Linked DNA regions of Mus musculus: all the other regions are reported to be linked to region 2. Evidence: microRNA targets listed by miRTarBase, many of them from high-throughput screens and not tested one by one. Region 2 holds a microRNA gene; each other region holds the end of a gene's coding sequence.

Evidence for each region. The annotated mature microRNA mmu-miR-138-5p reads AGCUGGUGUUGUGAAUCAGGCCG and lies in region 2 at 2,334-2,356, opposite strand. An mRNA with a match to its seed (bases 2 to 7 or 8) in the 3' UTR can be bound and repressed. Matches are read on the target gene's strand: a 7mer-m8 pairs with bases 2 to 8, a 7mer-A1 pairs with bases 2 to 7 and ends in A, and an 8mer does both.
Region 1: the mRNA of Gas2l3 is a reported target of mmu-miR-138-5p. The part of its 3' UTR that is shown has no 7-base or 8-base seed match.
Region 3: the mRNA of Glyctk is a reported target of mmu-miR-138-5p. Seed matches in the 3' UTR shown: 7mer-A1 at 2,778-2,784.
Region 4: miRTarBase lists Jun as a target of mmu-miR-138-5p. The part of its 3' UTR that is shown has no 7-base or 8-base seed match.

Annotation. Positions count from the first base shown.
Region 1 is chr10:89,410,348-89,414,248 of GRCm38, reverse strand. Gas2l3 (growth arrest-specific 2 like 3) reads left to right here. Exons shown (of 11, transcript NM_001033331.2): 11 at 1-3,901. The coding sequence ends at 1,046. Among named protein-coding and RNA genes, the nearest start is that of Gas2l3, 32 kb to the left of the region's middle.
Region 2 is chr8:94,322,767-94,326,667 of GRCm38, reverse strand. It overlaps Mir138-2 (microRNA 138-2), which reads right to left and starts at 2,357; the gene lies at 2,287-2,357. It also overlaps a transcript of Nup93 not described here.
Region 3 is chr9:106,152,019-106,155,919 of GRCm38, reverse strand. Glyctk (glycerate kinase) reads left to right here. Exons shown (of 4, transcript NM_174846.4): 4 at 1-3,060. The coding sequence ends at 679. It overlaps D030055H07Rik (a long non-coding RNA gene), which reads right to left. Exons shown (of 7, transcript XR_003948237.1): 3 at 3,167-3,764; 4 at 2,891-3,026. It overlaps Mir135a-1 (microRNA 135a-1), which reads right to left and starts at 1,796; the gene lies at 1,707-1,796.
Region 4 is chr4:95,047,322-95,051,222 of GRCm38, forward strand. It overlaps Jun (jun proto-oncogene), which reads right to left. Exons shown (of 1, transcript NM_010591.2): 1 at 1,715-3,901. The coding sequence ends at 2,946. Among named protein-coding and RNA genes, the nearest start is that of Jun, 3.0 kb to the right of the region's middle.

The sequences.
Region 1 (3,901 bases), not on the chromosome of region 2:
GCACACCAGTGAGTGTTCCGAAGAACAAGGAGAAACAGGTACGTCTACCAGGTGCACGTCTGCCTGCATCGTCAGTAAAAGGTAATTTGGCTTCCCCGTCTACCCGGGCTAAACGGCCAGATTCTCCAGCATCATTTCCACATCCCAAGGTGACATCTTTGAAGGACGCAGCAAAAAAGACGACTGCTCCTTCCAACAGTGTATCGCAGTCCCTGGCTTCTCCAAATCCAGGGTCTAAACCAAGCACTGCACAGTGTGCCTCAGAGTCATCGCGAAAATGTGTCACCTTCCCCAAGACTGCACAGACCAAGGCTATTCCAGCCCAGAATTCAAGAGATCTGTCTAAGTCCAGACTTTTACCAAGTAAATCTCCTGGAAAAATGGAACCAAAGCATTTGAAACACAATCATCTTTCTTCTAGGGATGAGTCACGTATAAACTTATCATCCAAGTCCCCAAAGCTACCTAAAGGAGCCATGCACGGAAGGCCTAACCCTTCTCCTTTCCAGCCACCTGCCAAAGTGACCAAGCCCAGTTCTAAAACCGGAGCCATAGGTCTAGGGACACAGTCTCAGCCACCCACTAGAACGCCGAGGTCAGGAGCAGTCTCAGCACAAAGACTTCAGTCTACATTGAATTTAAACAGTCCAGCTTCTGTGTGCTCAGGGTCCTCTGCAAAAGCTACTCAGGGATCGAAAGGTAAGAATACAGTTTCAGTTGCCAAAAAGCAACCTCAGAGTAAGGGTGTCTGCCGGAATCCGGGACCTGGCTCTTCAAAGTCTCCTGGCCGTACCCCGCTGTCTATTGTGACTGTTCCCCAATCTGCTACCAAGACAGAAACTGTCTCGAAGTCAGCCAAGACTGCCATGAAGGGCCAGTACTCAGCTAAAGGGCCTCCCAAAAGCAGCAAGCCACCAACTTCCTTCAGGGACCCACCCTCATCTGGTAAGGGGGCAGACAGCGGAGATAAAATGCCCACTGCCAGGAAGAAGGAAGAAGATGACCATTATTTTGTTATGACCGGAAATAAGAAGCTTAGGAAATAAATACACTTGTATCGTTTCAGCAAATCAGGGTGATCAATGAATGGCGAGCCACAAGGATCACCAAAGATCTTCCTATTTGTGTCTGTCCGGAGAGCTGCAGACATGAAGTCAAGATGGGATGAAGCTGGGTCAGGGAAAGGACCCATGCATTTTGTGTATCAATGGACAAATGTGTGAGTTTTGACCTGTATCATCTTGCTAATGATGTCTGCTGTTTGAGGGAAGTGTAAAAGTCCAAGAACACTACTAGAATTTTAACTATTGGTGGTATATTTTTGAACACAGGTTAACTGTGGAGGTTATCTGCTAATAGCAACTCCGATACTCTTAAACACTAGTTACTGTGCTCAGCCACAAAGCAATGGTTTGCTTGGCGCTAGTGTGTGCCTGTAATCCCAGCTCCGAAGGCTGAGGCAGGGGTACACAGTAGAAGCCAGCAAGGTTTTGAAATGTGCTGTAATAGGCACCTAATTTATTGGTCAGGAATCCTGGTCCAGCAATCCTAAGTACCAATGGCTCCTGCTGTTTACTTTGATATTATTCTGGATTAAATGGAATTCTTACTATTTAAATCTCTATAATATTTCCGTATCAGAAGGGACTATTTGGTTTTTTAATTAAACTTGGCTTTTTAATACTGTATCATTTTATAACCAATATTTTTGATAAAAAGAAAAAAAAACTCAACCAAGTAAGTTAACTTATTGAATCATAAGCTGAAATTTAGTAAGAATTAAGTTTTTTAAAAAAAAAAAATATATATATATATAATCTAGACACTTTGTATCTTATATTTTTAGATGAAGTCTGTGCAGTGTGACAGGGAAACATTTAATAGCTTTTAGCATACTAAGATATTTTAAATAGACATTTCCTATATGTACATATAAATTTTTTCATTAAAATAATGTGTTTTGATACCAGAATTAGGTTTTAATGATCTTAAAATTAAAAGGGATGGGGGGTGGCTCAATGGATAAGTCATGTCTAGTACAGGCATGGGGATTGGAGTTTGTGTCCCCATACCTACATACAAATCTGGGTGGGCTTGATGGTCTGCCTGTAGTCCCAGCACTCAGGAGGAAGAGACAGGATTTCCTGGGACAAGCTGGCTGGCGAGAGGAGCCGATGGATGAGAGGCAGCTCTTTTGAGAGACCACCCCTACCTTAGTAAAAAAGGAAGATTCCCAAAGTCAATGTCTGTTCTCTCTATGTACAGACTCATACATATATCCTGTTCACATATGCACACACACACACACACACACACACACACGCACACACACCTATGAATGCATATATACACACAGACTCACATACATGCATGCACACCACATATATTGACGCGTACAAAAGATTAAGATGGTATTAAGAGAACCTTTGTGTGATGCTATGCACACATCTCATCAGGTGACTTGTATTTCTTTTGCTAGCACACTGTCGATTTTAATTAGTCTCCAGATTATGTTCATCTTCATTAGTAAGGCCATGTTGTGCTCAGTTTTCCAGTGCCCAGCAGACAGTGTACCTTCTGTTCTGTAGGCAGATTCTCGTCAGGAATATCCAATGATTTCATGACAGCATAAACACCTTCCACCCACAGGGATACTTGTAAATGATTTATGTACAGGCTTGTCACTATTTAAAGTTTATTAATGTACTTTGGGAACTTTTAAGGGTGTTAAGTAACTATGGTATTACCAGTTATCCTAAGTTGTAGGAAGGAAAAGCAGGTCTAAGAGGTACACGCTTGTAATTCCATTACTTGGAAAGTGGAGGCAGGAGGATCAGAAATTCAAGGTCATGTTCAGCTATGCACTAGAGACACGCCTCAAAAAAAATTGTCACTTTGACTCCTCTTTTATAACTCAGATGCCCTCCCTTTAAAATCTGCTTTCCATCCTCCTCCTCTTCCTTTCTTTTCTTTGTGAGACTGAGGATCTATGGTGTCTTACATTGATAGATAAGCATTGCGACTGAGCTTCCTCCTCGGCCCCTTCAAATACGGTTTCTAACACAAACAAAATAGTTGACCCAGACCTGCCATCATTGAATGAGTGAGCATCGTGGCTGGCTGCTGGCATTCTCTAGACCTACATACAGCAAGAGAACCTTGGGTAAAGACCACTGGATCTTTACCCAAGCAGTATGCATAAAATCAAAGATCTACTCAGGATCCCTTACAACAGAAAACCACCAAAAACTTGCCAAACGTTCCGGTTCTGAGCATCACTAATGGCAATATGTACATCTTTGAAAGCACCTCTTAGCACTCAAAAGAGATGCCAGGGGCATTTCTGTAATCAGGAATATCTAACACACCTTTCAGAGAGGAAGGATTGTAGCTTTAGAGAGGCTATTCCCTCATAGAGAGGGCCGCCGAAACTATTTCTAGATCAGTAACTTCTGAGAATTAAAAGAAAAATATAAATTACACTATAGGCAGACTAAACCTATGACTCAGTACATTGTACAGTTTTATAAACATTATCTTTTGTGCTGGGTAATCAAGAATAAAGATATTCTCAGACACCTGGCACAAATTCCCGAATTAACTTTAGGATTATTTATTTAAGATAAAGATTGGGTTTTTTGTTTTTGTCTGCTGTTCAGTAGCATTTCTCCAACTGTAGTCATATAGGGTGAATTTCTTTGTGTGTGTACCTTGTCTTTCCTAAGCATAGGTTGTATGTGAATAAGTAATTCAGTTCCATGGGAACTGAGAGAACACTCAGCAACTCAGAACACTTGGTATTCTTGCAGAGAACCTGAGTTCTATTTCCAGCACTCCCGGGGTGGCTCACAAGCATCCAGAACTCTTGTTTCAGGGTATCTGATGCTCGCTTCTGGCCTCC
Region 2 (3,901 bases):
CCAATTTCTTGGAAAGGAAGTCAGCCACAGAGGCAGGGGCCTCGCACAATAGATTGTTCAGCGACTATCTCAACCAACCAGAGTTTCAGACACGGGCTCAATAAGTGCTTGTTGGTTGTACAGGGAATGAATGGAGACTAGAACCAAGGAGAGCTAAGCCAGGTGGAGACGAGCTTACAAGGGGTCTTTGGGGATTCCCATGGCACAGATCCTGCCTCTATTGGACATTAAGTGGCGGGCAGAGGAAGACATAAACACTTCTTTCCTCTGCCAGCTTCCAGCAGGGCTGAAGGCTTGAAGTAAGGACTCAGGGGCCAAGGACTCCTCCGGGCCAGTTTTCTACCTTGGCAGGGATGGTGAGATTTGTAAAGCCTCCCCCACGCCACCCCCCAGCAGGTCCATGGCCCTTGGGGTAGATCTTATCTTCTGAGTTTTAAATCGCCAGCTACCTGGCAAAAATCACAGCTCCCCAGCATCCCCACACCATTCCAACACACTGTGCCCTGGCAGCTACGGAAAATTCCTGATAAAGATCTTGGGATAGAAGAGGCCAGGGCTGGTTTTCAGCCAGGAGTAAGAGGCTATGAAATTGCTGAATGACCTTGGCACATAAGTTCTTCCTTTCTGCAAAGCACTCATGTTAGCTGCAAGGGATGTAGGGCTGCTTCCCCAAACCTGCTGCCCCACTGCACTCTCTGGAGTAGAAAGAGGTTTAGGCTGGGTCCCTTAAGGGGCTTATCAGTAGGACAGTTGGTGACTGTTTGACACCTTGTGCCAAAGCACAGACCCTGAAAATGACTGCCCTGAAAATGGAATGGCATACATCCTGAATCCAGCTTCTGAGAGGACATAGGACCCCTACTCTGAGTAGTCCTGGAATTGAACCTCAAGGAGTTTCCATTCTGTTTGTTTTAGGGGTGTCTCTGAGCAAGTCTCCCCACCACAACAGCAAGGTGGGAGCCACACTGTACCAAGGCCAGCCAAGGACCAGACAGACTCAGATCAGAAACAATATCCTCTGGCTGAGCCACAAGGACAGGAGGGCACATCATAGCTACCCAACAGTAGTCCTGCCATCTTCTTGGCCACAGAGGCCCCTCCAAAAAGTTTCTCATATAGACCAGGTTCTGAGCCTGGAAGCTTAGAGCATGAAGCACCAGCAGAGAAAGGGACCTCACAGGAGATGGGGGCTGAGGGAAAAGGTGGGCAGGGACAGAGGAAGAGGTGGGTTGGCTGGTGACAGAGAATTGGTGGGATAGCAGGCTGAAGGGGTCATCTATCCATTCCACCTCGATCATTAGGTAATAACACATATGATTTTCTGTGCTGAGCAACCCCCCACCCTCCCCAAAACAAATCCCTGTCCTCTGGGGGCTCACATTCTAGAGGGCGAGACAGGCAGCAATGCACAGACAAGCAATCACCAAAATACACGTAGTGATACGTGCTATGAAGAAAATAAAGCTTTTCTTAGGTCTCTCTGAGGATGCAAATCTTGAGCTTGGCCACCCATATGTGAGCAGGAACTGCAAAGGGGGTGGGGGATGGGGTGGGGGAGGTAGGCAGGAAGAGCAAAGGCCCTGGACAAAAGGTGGCTTGGGCTTCCAACGGAGCAGGAAGGCCTGTGTGTTAGGACCAGGCAGGCAGGGTGTGCATGTGAAAAAAGGAACCCGGGGGCTCATAGAGCTATTTACAAGTGGCAATGGGGTATCGTGTCCTGAAGACAGAGATGATAGCATTAGCATTGTGTATGAAGTCAGTTTTTTTTCTTTTTGGAGGGTGGGGTGGGAGAGCTCCATGGACAGAGATGTCTCTGAGTAGGAATCCTTGACAGGAAGGGCTTTGGATGCCAGGAAGAGGAGCTGCTTTTGCCCTGGGTGTTTTGGTACCAGGAGCAGCAGTTGGGTGGTGTACATCAAATCTAAAGGAGTGGGACTGGGGAGGGCCGGCAGATGCCACTGCACGGTCAGCCAAGCACAGGGGAGCAGTTCAACTCTGAGCCCTGGGCTCGCCTGCTTCCTCCTCGCTGCACGTGGATTAGAACCTCTCAGGATCGCTGGCTCTGAGATCACACCTCAGAGCCTTTGTGGGCTTGGGCTGAGCAAGGGGAGGGCAGACCCTGGCATCTGTCTAAAGCTTCCCAGGTGACTATGAGGTGAGGTATGATAGGGAGGCTATGGACTACTGAACATCACCTTTCACAGTCAGTTGTCCCAACCCACCCTGTCCCCAAGTTCCTGTGTCCTGTGGTCCCACGGCGCTTGCCTGGAGAGGATGGGTAGGGTGCAACCCTGGTGTCGTGAAATAGCCGGGTAAGAGGATGCGCTGCTCGTCGGCCTGATTCACAACACCAGCTGCAGCAACCATACCAGAAATGGGTGGCTTCTTCCTGGGGCGTGGCTTCTTCCTGGGGGCGTGGCTCCTCCAGTTCGAAGAAGGTAGAAAGCCCAGAACCCTGCAGAGGTCTAGGATTGCCAAACCAGGAGCCGGATCCCTGCCCACAAGGGGCTTACAGACTTGATGACTCCACGGAAAAGAGACAGATCCAAACCCTACTCAGTGTAGGGACAGAGAAGACACAGAGATACCAGGTCCACAGCAGCCCTGGAAAGCCAGAAATAGGGCTGAGCTGCTGGGATTCCCATAGAGCCTTGAAGAGCACAAAGGTTTGCCTGCTGTAATTCTAGTCCTTTTACCTGGACAGTATTGAGAGTAGCTGGACACCAACGCGCCTTGAGCTTGGACCAGCTGATGTAAAAGGGAAATGTGCAGACACTAAGACATCTATCTGCATGCTTAAAGAAAGGACTCCTGACTGTTTCTTGGCCTTCTGGCTAAGATCAAGGGGAGGAAGGACTCCTGGCTTCTTTTCCTTCATGGGTAGACTAACTGTTTAGCCACCATTTACCCCTTGGGGCGCCATAGGTGTGAGGAATGTATTAGACTTAATGCAACTGTTTGGGGGCATAAGAACAAAGTATGTCAGTGCCCTCAGAGGCATGCAACCCAGGATCCCAAACCACGAGTCATATCCAAAGCATAAAAGCATAAAATCTTGGGAGAAAATAATACATGGGTTCAGAAAAAAGGTGGCTTCTTCTGTCTGGGGCAAGGATGCTATAAGGTGTCTGTAATATCTCAAAGAAAAGAGAAGAAACAGTAATTTAAGCTTGAAGCTTCTCAGCAGTCTAGAATCCTGAATAGTGATCACTGGTTGCTGAGTGAGAGTTGACTTTCCTTCTATTTATTTATTTATTTTTTGTCTCATATGGCAGTAAGGCTCCATCAACCCCTTAGCCCTCCATGCAGGCTTAGCTGAATTTTCAACGCAGGGCTGGTCTGAGCTCTGTGCTGCTGCAGCTACACACACTGAAATAGCAAACCTAGAGAACTCGGGTTTCCAGTAACAGGTAAACTCTTCCATCCCAGCAACTCTGCCAGGAAACCAGTGACTCAGCGCTGTCTGCGTCTCTTACGTCTGGACTTTCATTATAAAAGTCTCTTCAGCTTTCTCACTTTCTGGGAAACTCTTCCCCCGGACCAGGGCTGAGGGGGAGGAGATATGGCCATTCTGTCTCATTTTGAATTCCAAAGGTACATTTTAAAACAAGCTTTATGTTGTTTGGTTAAAGCAGTTTCAAACTAGGTATGGTTGCACATGCCTGTAATCCCAGAACTCAGGAGGTAGAGGCCAGAAGATCTGGAGCTCATGGCTGTCCTCAGCTACACAGTACTTTCAGGCCACATGTCCCCAAACAAAACAAAAACACGGGATTTTACCATGTGGCTTATGATGGCCTTTTTATTTTTATTTTAAGACAGGGTGGTCTTGAACTCGTGATCTTCCTGCCTCTGCCTTCCAAGTGTTGGAATTACAGATGTGCACCACCAGGTTCAAACC
Region 3 (3,901 bases), not on the chromosome of region 2:
ACACACCTGTGGCCACGTCCTCAATGTGATCATCGGCTCTAACTCTCTGGCGCTGGCTGAGGCTCAGAGGCAAGCCGAGGTGCTGGGCTACCATGCCATGGTGTTGAGCACAGCCATGCAGGGTGATGTAAAAAGAGTGGCTCGGTTCTACGGGCTGCTAGCCCGGGTGGCTGCAGCCCACCTCACTCCATCCTTGGCTGAGCGTCCCTTGGAGGAGGAGGCGGAACTCCATCAGCTGGCAGCTGAGCTCCAGCTCCCGGACCTGCAGCTGGAGGAGGCTCTGGAAGCGGTGGTAAAGGCTAAAGGGCCGGTCTGCCTCCTGGCTGGTGGTGAGCCCACGGTGCAGCTGCAGGGATCTGGCAAGGGCGGTCGGAACCAAGAACTGGCCTTGCACGTGGGAGTGGAGCTGGGAAGGCAGCCACTGGGACCTATTGATGTGCTATTTTTGAGTGGAGGCACTGATGGGCAGGATGGGCCTACAAAGGTGGCCGGGGCCTGGGTCATGTCTGATCTCATCAGCCAGGCTTCTGCTGAGAGCCTGGACATCGCCACCTCCCTCGCCAATAACGACTCATACACTTTCTTTTGCCGCTTCCGGGGAGGAACACATTTGCTGCACACAGGGTTGACAGGGACCAATGTTATGGATGTCCACCTCCTGATTCTTCATCCTCAGTGATGGTGTCGCTCACCGTGTGAGAGTGTAGAAGAGGCCTTCAAGGGCAGGGCCTCTTAGGAAGGTCAAGGGCCGATTCCCAGGCCCCACTGTGCCGCAGGACTTTTCCTCCGTTGCTCTGCCCGCCTCCCTCGGATCTACTCTATGCTTGTTCCCCCAACTAGATTAGAAGATGGGGGCTTCTTTCTACCCCTAGTTTCTGTCATGACAGCAGGTAGCCCTGAGGCCCAGCAGGAGCTTCTTGGCCAGTCACAGTTCTCATTTTCTCCCTGGATGCCTTCCTGCCCAGGTCCTCAGCCTGTCTCTTCCATGGAGCGAAGGTAGGGCACTGAAAATAAAGAGAATGTTGTGTGTGGGGGTCTCAGCTCATCTCCCCTCAGCACCTCTTTCCATAGCACAGATCCTCGGGGAGCTGCTGGGCAGGGACCCGTGGTGTGGCCCCAGCAGTGGTGCCAGTACCTTGAAGAGTTTCTCATACCCTTTTTGGCTGGGTGCACACTCAGGGTCTGCTGATGGCAATCTGTGACAATTGAATCTGTCTCCTAGCAGTGTCAATGTGGGTTAACAGGACAGGCTTATAGTTGCCTACTTAACCCTGACTCCCTGTGGTAGAAACCTGATCATGGTTTCTCCTCTCCTGCTGTTGCCTGACTGGGTGGAGACGATCCACTTGTCACCACGGCTCTTCCTTCTGTATTTGGACCACTCTCAGCTTTCCCCCTCACCCTCTGGCTATCAAGGGGTTTCTTCAGGCCGCAGGCATTGCACTTGTTCTCCTGTGCCCACTTTTCCCAGGCTAAACATTCCATGTTCCATTGTCGCTCCTCCGGGTACCCAGTTGGGACCCTGGTGCCAGCATTTCAGTGTGTGTCTCAGCACTAGAATGGTAGGTCAGAGCAGTGAAGGACCTCAGCAGTCCCTCACCCCATCCTGTCATAGCTGGCAGAGGTGAGTCACTTGGCTTGGCCTGCAGCCACTGGCCTGGTTTACCTCGAGCCCTCTTGTTCCACATCAGAGCCCTCTGTTGGCTTATCCTCACCGTACGCCACGGCTCCAATCCCTATATGAGCGAGCAATAGAATCACATAGGAATAAAAAGCCATAGAGAACAGTGAGGCCTGGGGCGGCCCCTGTGGGCCCTTCTTCCATCGTGAGGGTGTGAGGGGCTCTAGGTCAGAGCTGATGTGTCCTGGGAAGGGCCTCCCATCTCCACTGGGCTCTGGACAGTCTAGCTAGAAGTTGGGCCATGGCTTGCAGACCTGGCTCCTGTGTGTGTTCCTAAGACTGAGAAGGAGGTAAGCAAGGTGAGCTGGCTCTGAGGACCAGACAGGCTTAGGGAAGTGGAGTGGTTTGTACCATTTCTTTCCTTCTGTCCTTGTGCACAGGATCAGAGACTCTGGGGATTTTGTCTTTACGCTGGGGTTCTGGTATCCTCTAGGAGTGGCTCTGTCCCCGTGTTCTTGACCTTGGGAACGTATTCCCATTGGACACTGAGTTGCAGGCCAGAGCTTCAGGAGAAGAGCTTTTCAGCCGCATCCTTGGTGTCTCTGTGAGGTAAACACGTGAGCAGTGGACACTGGTGTCAGAATGCATCCACAGTGTACCCATGGGTGCTTTTCAGAGTAGGTTTGCTCGTGGGGACCACTGTCACCATTGCCTGCTGAGGGCTTCACATATAGGTAGAGTCTTTTTGTTGGAGGCTCCCCGTGTCTGCCTTGGTCACTTTCCTGTACCTATGCTCTCAGAGTCTGGGGGCCAGGGTCTGAATTGGGCCCCATTATAGCAAACAGTTTGTGGGCATAACCTTCTATATTTGCTCACCTATTTATCTGGTCATTCTAGATGATAGAAATAAACAAATTCCTCACAGTTAGAGCTCAATAGGACTGTTTTTTTTGTTTTTTTCTCTCCATCAATATCAAGTATGGAGCCAGGCCTGGTGCACAGGCCTATAATCCCAGGTACACGAGAGGACTCTCAGAGTATTGAGAGCTCATGGCTAGCCTGAGCTACAGAGTGAAAGCCAGCCTAGGCAACTAAGAGAGATCCCATTTTAAAGACCTTTAAAAAGGGTCGGGCAGTGGTGGTGCACGCTTTTAATACCAGCACTTGGGAGGCAGAGGCAGGCGGATCTCTTGAGTGTTTGAGGCCAGCCCAATCTACAGAGTGAGTTCCAGGACATCCAGTGCTACCCAGAGAGAACCCCTGTCTCACCAAGAACAGCAGCAGCAGCAGCAGCAGCAGCAGCAGCAGCAGCAGCAGCAACAACAACAACAACAACAAGAGGTCTGGGAATGTGGTCAATGATACTATTCTAGCATGTGTGAAGCCCTGGGTTGAGTTCCCAGCACTGAAAAATAAAATAAATAAATGAATGAATGGCTATATGCACATGTGTCTTACTAATTATGGATTATTAGAGACACGGCCCTCCTTTGGCTCTCAGCTGCCGTTTCTCCCGACTCAGGTTTTTGCTGGCCAAATCCTTACTTTGTCATCATGTGCTGATACTTTCCATGGCTTGAGGATTTTGCCACAATGGTGCTCAGGCCTCCTTCACATTAAAGCCTTCTCATTCTCTGCACTTGGCATGACTGTGGGTCTGGAGAGCCTTTCACGGTCAGCTTAGGTAAACCCATTTATCCTATGGCTGGAGAATTAGAGGAGATGGTTTATCAGGGACTGTAGAGCAAGTCAGTCACAGACCAGGGATGTGAACCTGCTTTGGGCTTTTGATACACATTCTCTGCTGCCCCCTGGGGCTCAGATACCATGGGGGCCAGCCCAAGGCGAAGCCAGAGTTAGGGGATGTGCCATTGTTTTCCATGTTGCCCTCAGTGGTTTGAGGATGGTGGCATGACCAGACTTAGCCTCTCCAGGGATCTGTAAAGCAGATTTGTTGGTCTCTTTGTGGTCTGGAGGAGCAGGGTGTTGAGTGGTTTAACAGGAGACCCCACGAGTGTGAATGGTGGGCATCTACATAAATGTGTGCACACACCTGAGTATGCATGTGTAGGGGTTTGTGTCCAACCAGTCACCGTGTGGACCTCCACACTGCTCTGCTCCATTCCAAGGTGTAGATGGTTTGCTGTGTTTAGAATTTCAGGAATATTGTGGGGCATGGTGGGTAAGGACACCTTAAAGGCTGGCAGAGGCAGGATGGCAAAGGGCCCCTCCCTCCCTCCCTCTCCTTCCCTCTCCCCTCTCTCCCTCTCCCCTCCTTCC
Region 4 (3,901 bases), not on the chromosome of region 2:
CTCTCCAGCCATAAACAACCTGGGCAGGCAAAGGATTTATTTTGGCTCACACTTGCAGGTTGTAATCCATTGTTGAAAGAAATCAAAGTGTGAACTCAGACTAGGACAGCAAGTCCTCTGAGAACAGGTGAGAGTGATCATTTGAACCAGAATGCAAGTCTGGCCGGAGGGCAGAGTAGGATAATACAAGCAGAAGCCTGGAACTTTAAAAGGCCCAGAGACCTAGATCCATACAAAGATGCTTCTGATGCTCAACATGTTTCATCTGATTCAGGGCGTTGTGTCACTGAGCTCTTGGGAGGTAAAGAAAAGATAACAATATTTCCATGTGGGCATTTCTATTGATTACATAAACTCTCTGTCCTAATGGAGAGTTAATAGTCTATGAATTAATTATACATATGTACATATATTTATATAGATAATTAAGACAGAATTGATGACTTTATATGCCATTATCTTCATCCTAAGTGCTACCTAAAGTATAGCACACTGAAAGTCCATAACAGATTTAGTCATTTGTCTACAGTAATTAGCTGATTTTCTGCTTTTGCAGTTTACCATTATTGAATTTCCTTTTTTACCATTATTATTATTTTTTCTGCCTCTTTAGGTTAGAACAGTCAGAATTTCAGGTACATAAAATACTAGTTGAAAGGAACTAGTGTAAGGATAAGCTTGAAAACCTTTGAACTTTTTTGTTCTCTTTTCTTTTTAGCCACCTGGGGAGTGCTGCAGCATTTCTCCATTGTGCTGTTGTCAGAGGCTTAGTCTAGCCATGCAGGGTGATCAATTCCCTAGCCTGTGTGTGTTTTCTACTTTGCTCTTGTTTAGCTTCCACAGAGCCCCACCCTAAAGTGCTTTACTGTCCCTCTGCTATTCCTACATATGGTCAAAATCCACTCACCTTCTGGATTGCTGACTTCAGCAAATTCACTGTTTGGAAAAGTGCCTCGGCTCCCAGTAACTCCTTGTTCAAAGGAGTATTACTACAATGGAGTATGTCTGGTAACCCGCAAGCCTGTCGGAGCCTCTGCAGACCTAGCTGTACTCCTGAGGAAGTGAGAATTTGGATTTACCACCACAGGTACTCCTAGACCTGTTGAGCACTGGAGCAGGGCTAACAGCCAGGCTCCAATTAGTGGTTTGTGAAGTGTTTCTGGATATCAAATTGCTGCCGCTGCTTGATAATCACAGCAGCTCATGGGGATGAGAAGGGACGAAGCAAAAATTATTCCCTTGTTGAATACAAACCTGTTGATAACCTCAGCTGTATCTGTAGACACAGTTCAAGTTTTCAGTCTCCCCAGAGCTGAGGTTTGGATTACAGATGTTATATAATCAGTGTTGGGCCCATCTCTCTTGTGACTCTGTCCCATAGTATTTATAATAGGACTTTTCCAGACTGCCTCAATAATTAAGCCAGATTGATTATTTTGAAACAAATTAAGAAATAAACATGGATTTGTTACACTGGTCACTTCCTTGGTTGTGAGGTCACCCTGGAGGGGTGAGGGGTGGGGAGGGTGGCAAGTGGGAATTGGGAGAGGGTCGGGAGAATAGTTCAACCAGGCCCCAGCTTCTCCTTCTACTCTTTCTAAATGCTTTGCTTCTAAATTGCTAAGTGTAGAATGCAATAGCACTAACCCCAGAAACTTGGAAAACCCCCAGTATACGGCTTAGGAAGCAAAGATTAGCAAAGGGAAAGGAAATTCAAGATTTTAAAAACCATTATTTGAATACATTTATTGTGATAACGAACGCTATTATAAATATGCACAAGCAAAGGTCATCTTTTTCTAGGAGTTGTCAGATTCAAAGTTGGAAGGAGACACCTTTTGTTAAAAACTTCCATGGGTCCCTGCTTTGAGAATCAACAGCTAATTACTAAATCTTTCCTATGATTATAAATGATCACAGCACATGCCACTTCATACAGCTTTCAACCAAAGTGTCTGCTTTCCAGCGGGCTGACCCTCTCCCCTTGCAACAGCCCTTCTTCCAGCCTTAAGAAACACCACACCATCTTCTGGTGTACAGTCTGGACTTGTGTGTTGCCGGGGGAGAGAGTATGAGCCAATGATAGCATGCAGGGTATCTATTCCTACAATCAGACAGGGGACACAGCTTTCACCCTAGTATATTGGGCACTCAGCTGTCACTTCATCTAGCTATCATTATCTATGGATAATGCAGCAAAGAGGTTGGGGGCTACTTTTCAATAGTTTATTGTATTTTCTTAAATATCCTTTCTGGAAATTTTCAGAAACAAAACATAAAAAAATTATATACTTTATTACAAATGGTAAACTCAGAATGCTTCAAATCTCTTATTTACAAACACTGGGCAGGACACCCAAACAAACAAACATGGAATAACTTACAAAGGCAGGAAGCTGTTTATTGACAGTAATCAGCTTTCATCAAATTAAAAAAAAATATATATGTACATACACAGTTGAGAGAGGCAGGCCAGGGGAGTTCATCTGCAGTCTAGCCTGGCACTTACAAGCCTCCCCCCCCTTCCCAGCCCTCCCTGCTTTGTGTTAAGGAGCACTACAGAAGCAATCTACAGTCTCTATTGCAGTTTGTAACCCCTCCCACCCCCCTTTAATACTGAATGAGATCGAATGTTAGGTCCATGCAGTTCTTGGTCAATGTTAACGAAAAGTCCATCGTTCTGGTCGCGCGCGGGCACAGCCCGTCCGCAAAGTCTGCCGGCCAATAGGCCGCTGCTCTCTGGCTCCACGCCAAAGCCAGGCGCGCCACGTCCTTCCCACTCCAGCACACTGGGGGCGCCGTCAGGTCGCAACCCAGTCCATCTTGTGTACCCTTGGCTTCAGTACTCGGACACTTTTTTTTTCTCTGTCGCAACCAGTCAAGTTCTCAAGTTTGTCTCTGTTATTTTTTTTCTTCCATTGCCCCTCAGCCCTGACAGTCTGTTCTCAAAACGTTTGCAACTGCTGCGTTAGCATGAGTTGGCACCCACTGTTAACGTGGTTCATGACTTTCTGCTTAAGCTGTGCCACCTGTTCCCTGAGCATGTTGGCCGTGGATGCCAGCTCGGAGTTTTGCGCTTTCAAGGTTTTCACTTTTTCCTCTAGCCGAGCGATCCGCTCCAGCTTCCTTTTCCGGCACTTGGAGGCGGCAATGCGGTTCCTCATGCGCTTCCTCTCTGCCTTGATCCGCTCCTGAGACTCCATGTCGATAGGGGACAGGGGCGGCGTCTCTCCCGGCATCTCCGGCACGGTCTGCGGCTCTTCCTTCAGGGCTTGCAGCCGCGGGTGCTGCACCGGGATCTGTTGGGGCAAGTGGTGCGGCGGCTGAGGCGGCTGCTGCTGCTGCTGCGGCTGCGAGGGAAAGGCCAGCCCGGCCGCGCCATAGGAGGGCGCCCCACCGCCGCTGCTCAGCGCACCCGGGTTGAAGTTGCTGAGGTTGGCGTAGACCGGAGGCTCACTGTGCAGGCTGGCGCTGTAGCCACCACCGCCGCCAGCGCCTGCTACTGAGGCCACCGCGGGAGCCACCATGCCCGCCCCGCTGACCGGCTGTGCCGCGGAGGTGACACTGGGAAGCGTGTTCTGGCTATGCAGTTCAGCCAGGGCGCGCACGAAGCCCTCGGCGAAGCCCTCCTGCTCGTCGGTCACGTTCTTGGGGCACAAGAACTGGGTGGGGGTCGGTGTAGTGGTGATGTGCCCATTGCTGGACTGGATGATCAGGCGCTCCAGCTCCGGCGACGCCAGCTTGAGCAGCCCGACGTCGGGCGACGTGAGAAGGTCCGAGTTCTTGGCGCGGAGGTGCGGCTTCAGACTGCCCACCGGGTCGGCCAGGTTCAAGGTCATGCTCTGTTTTAGGATCTTAGGGTTACTGTAGCCGTAGGCACCGCTCTCGGACTGGAGGAACG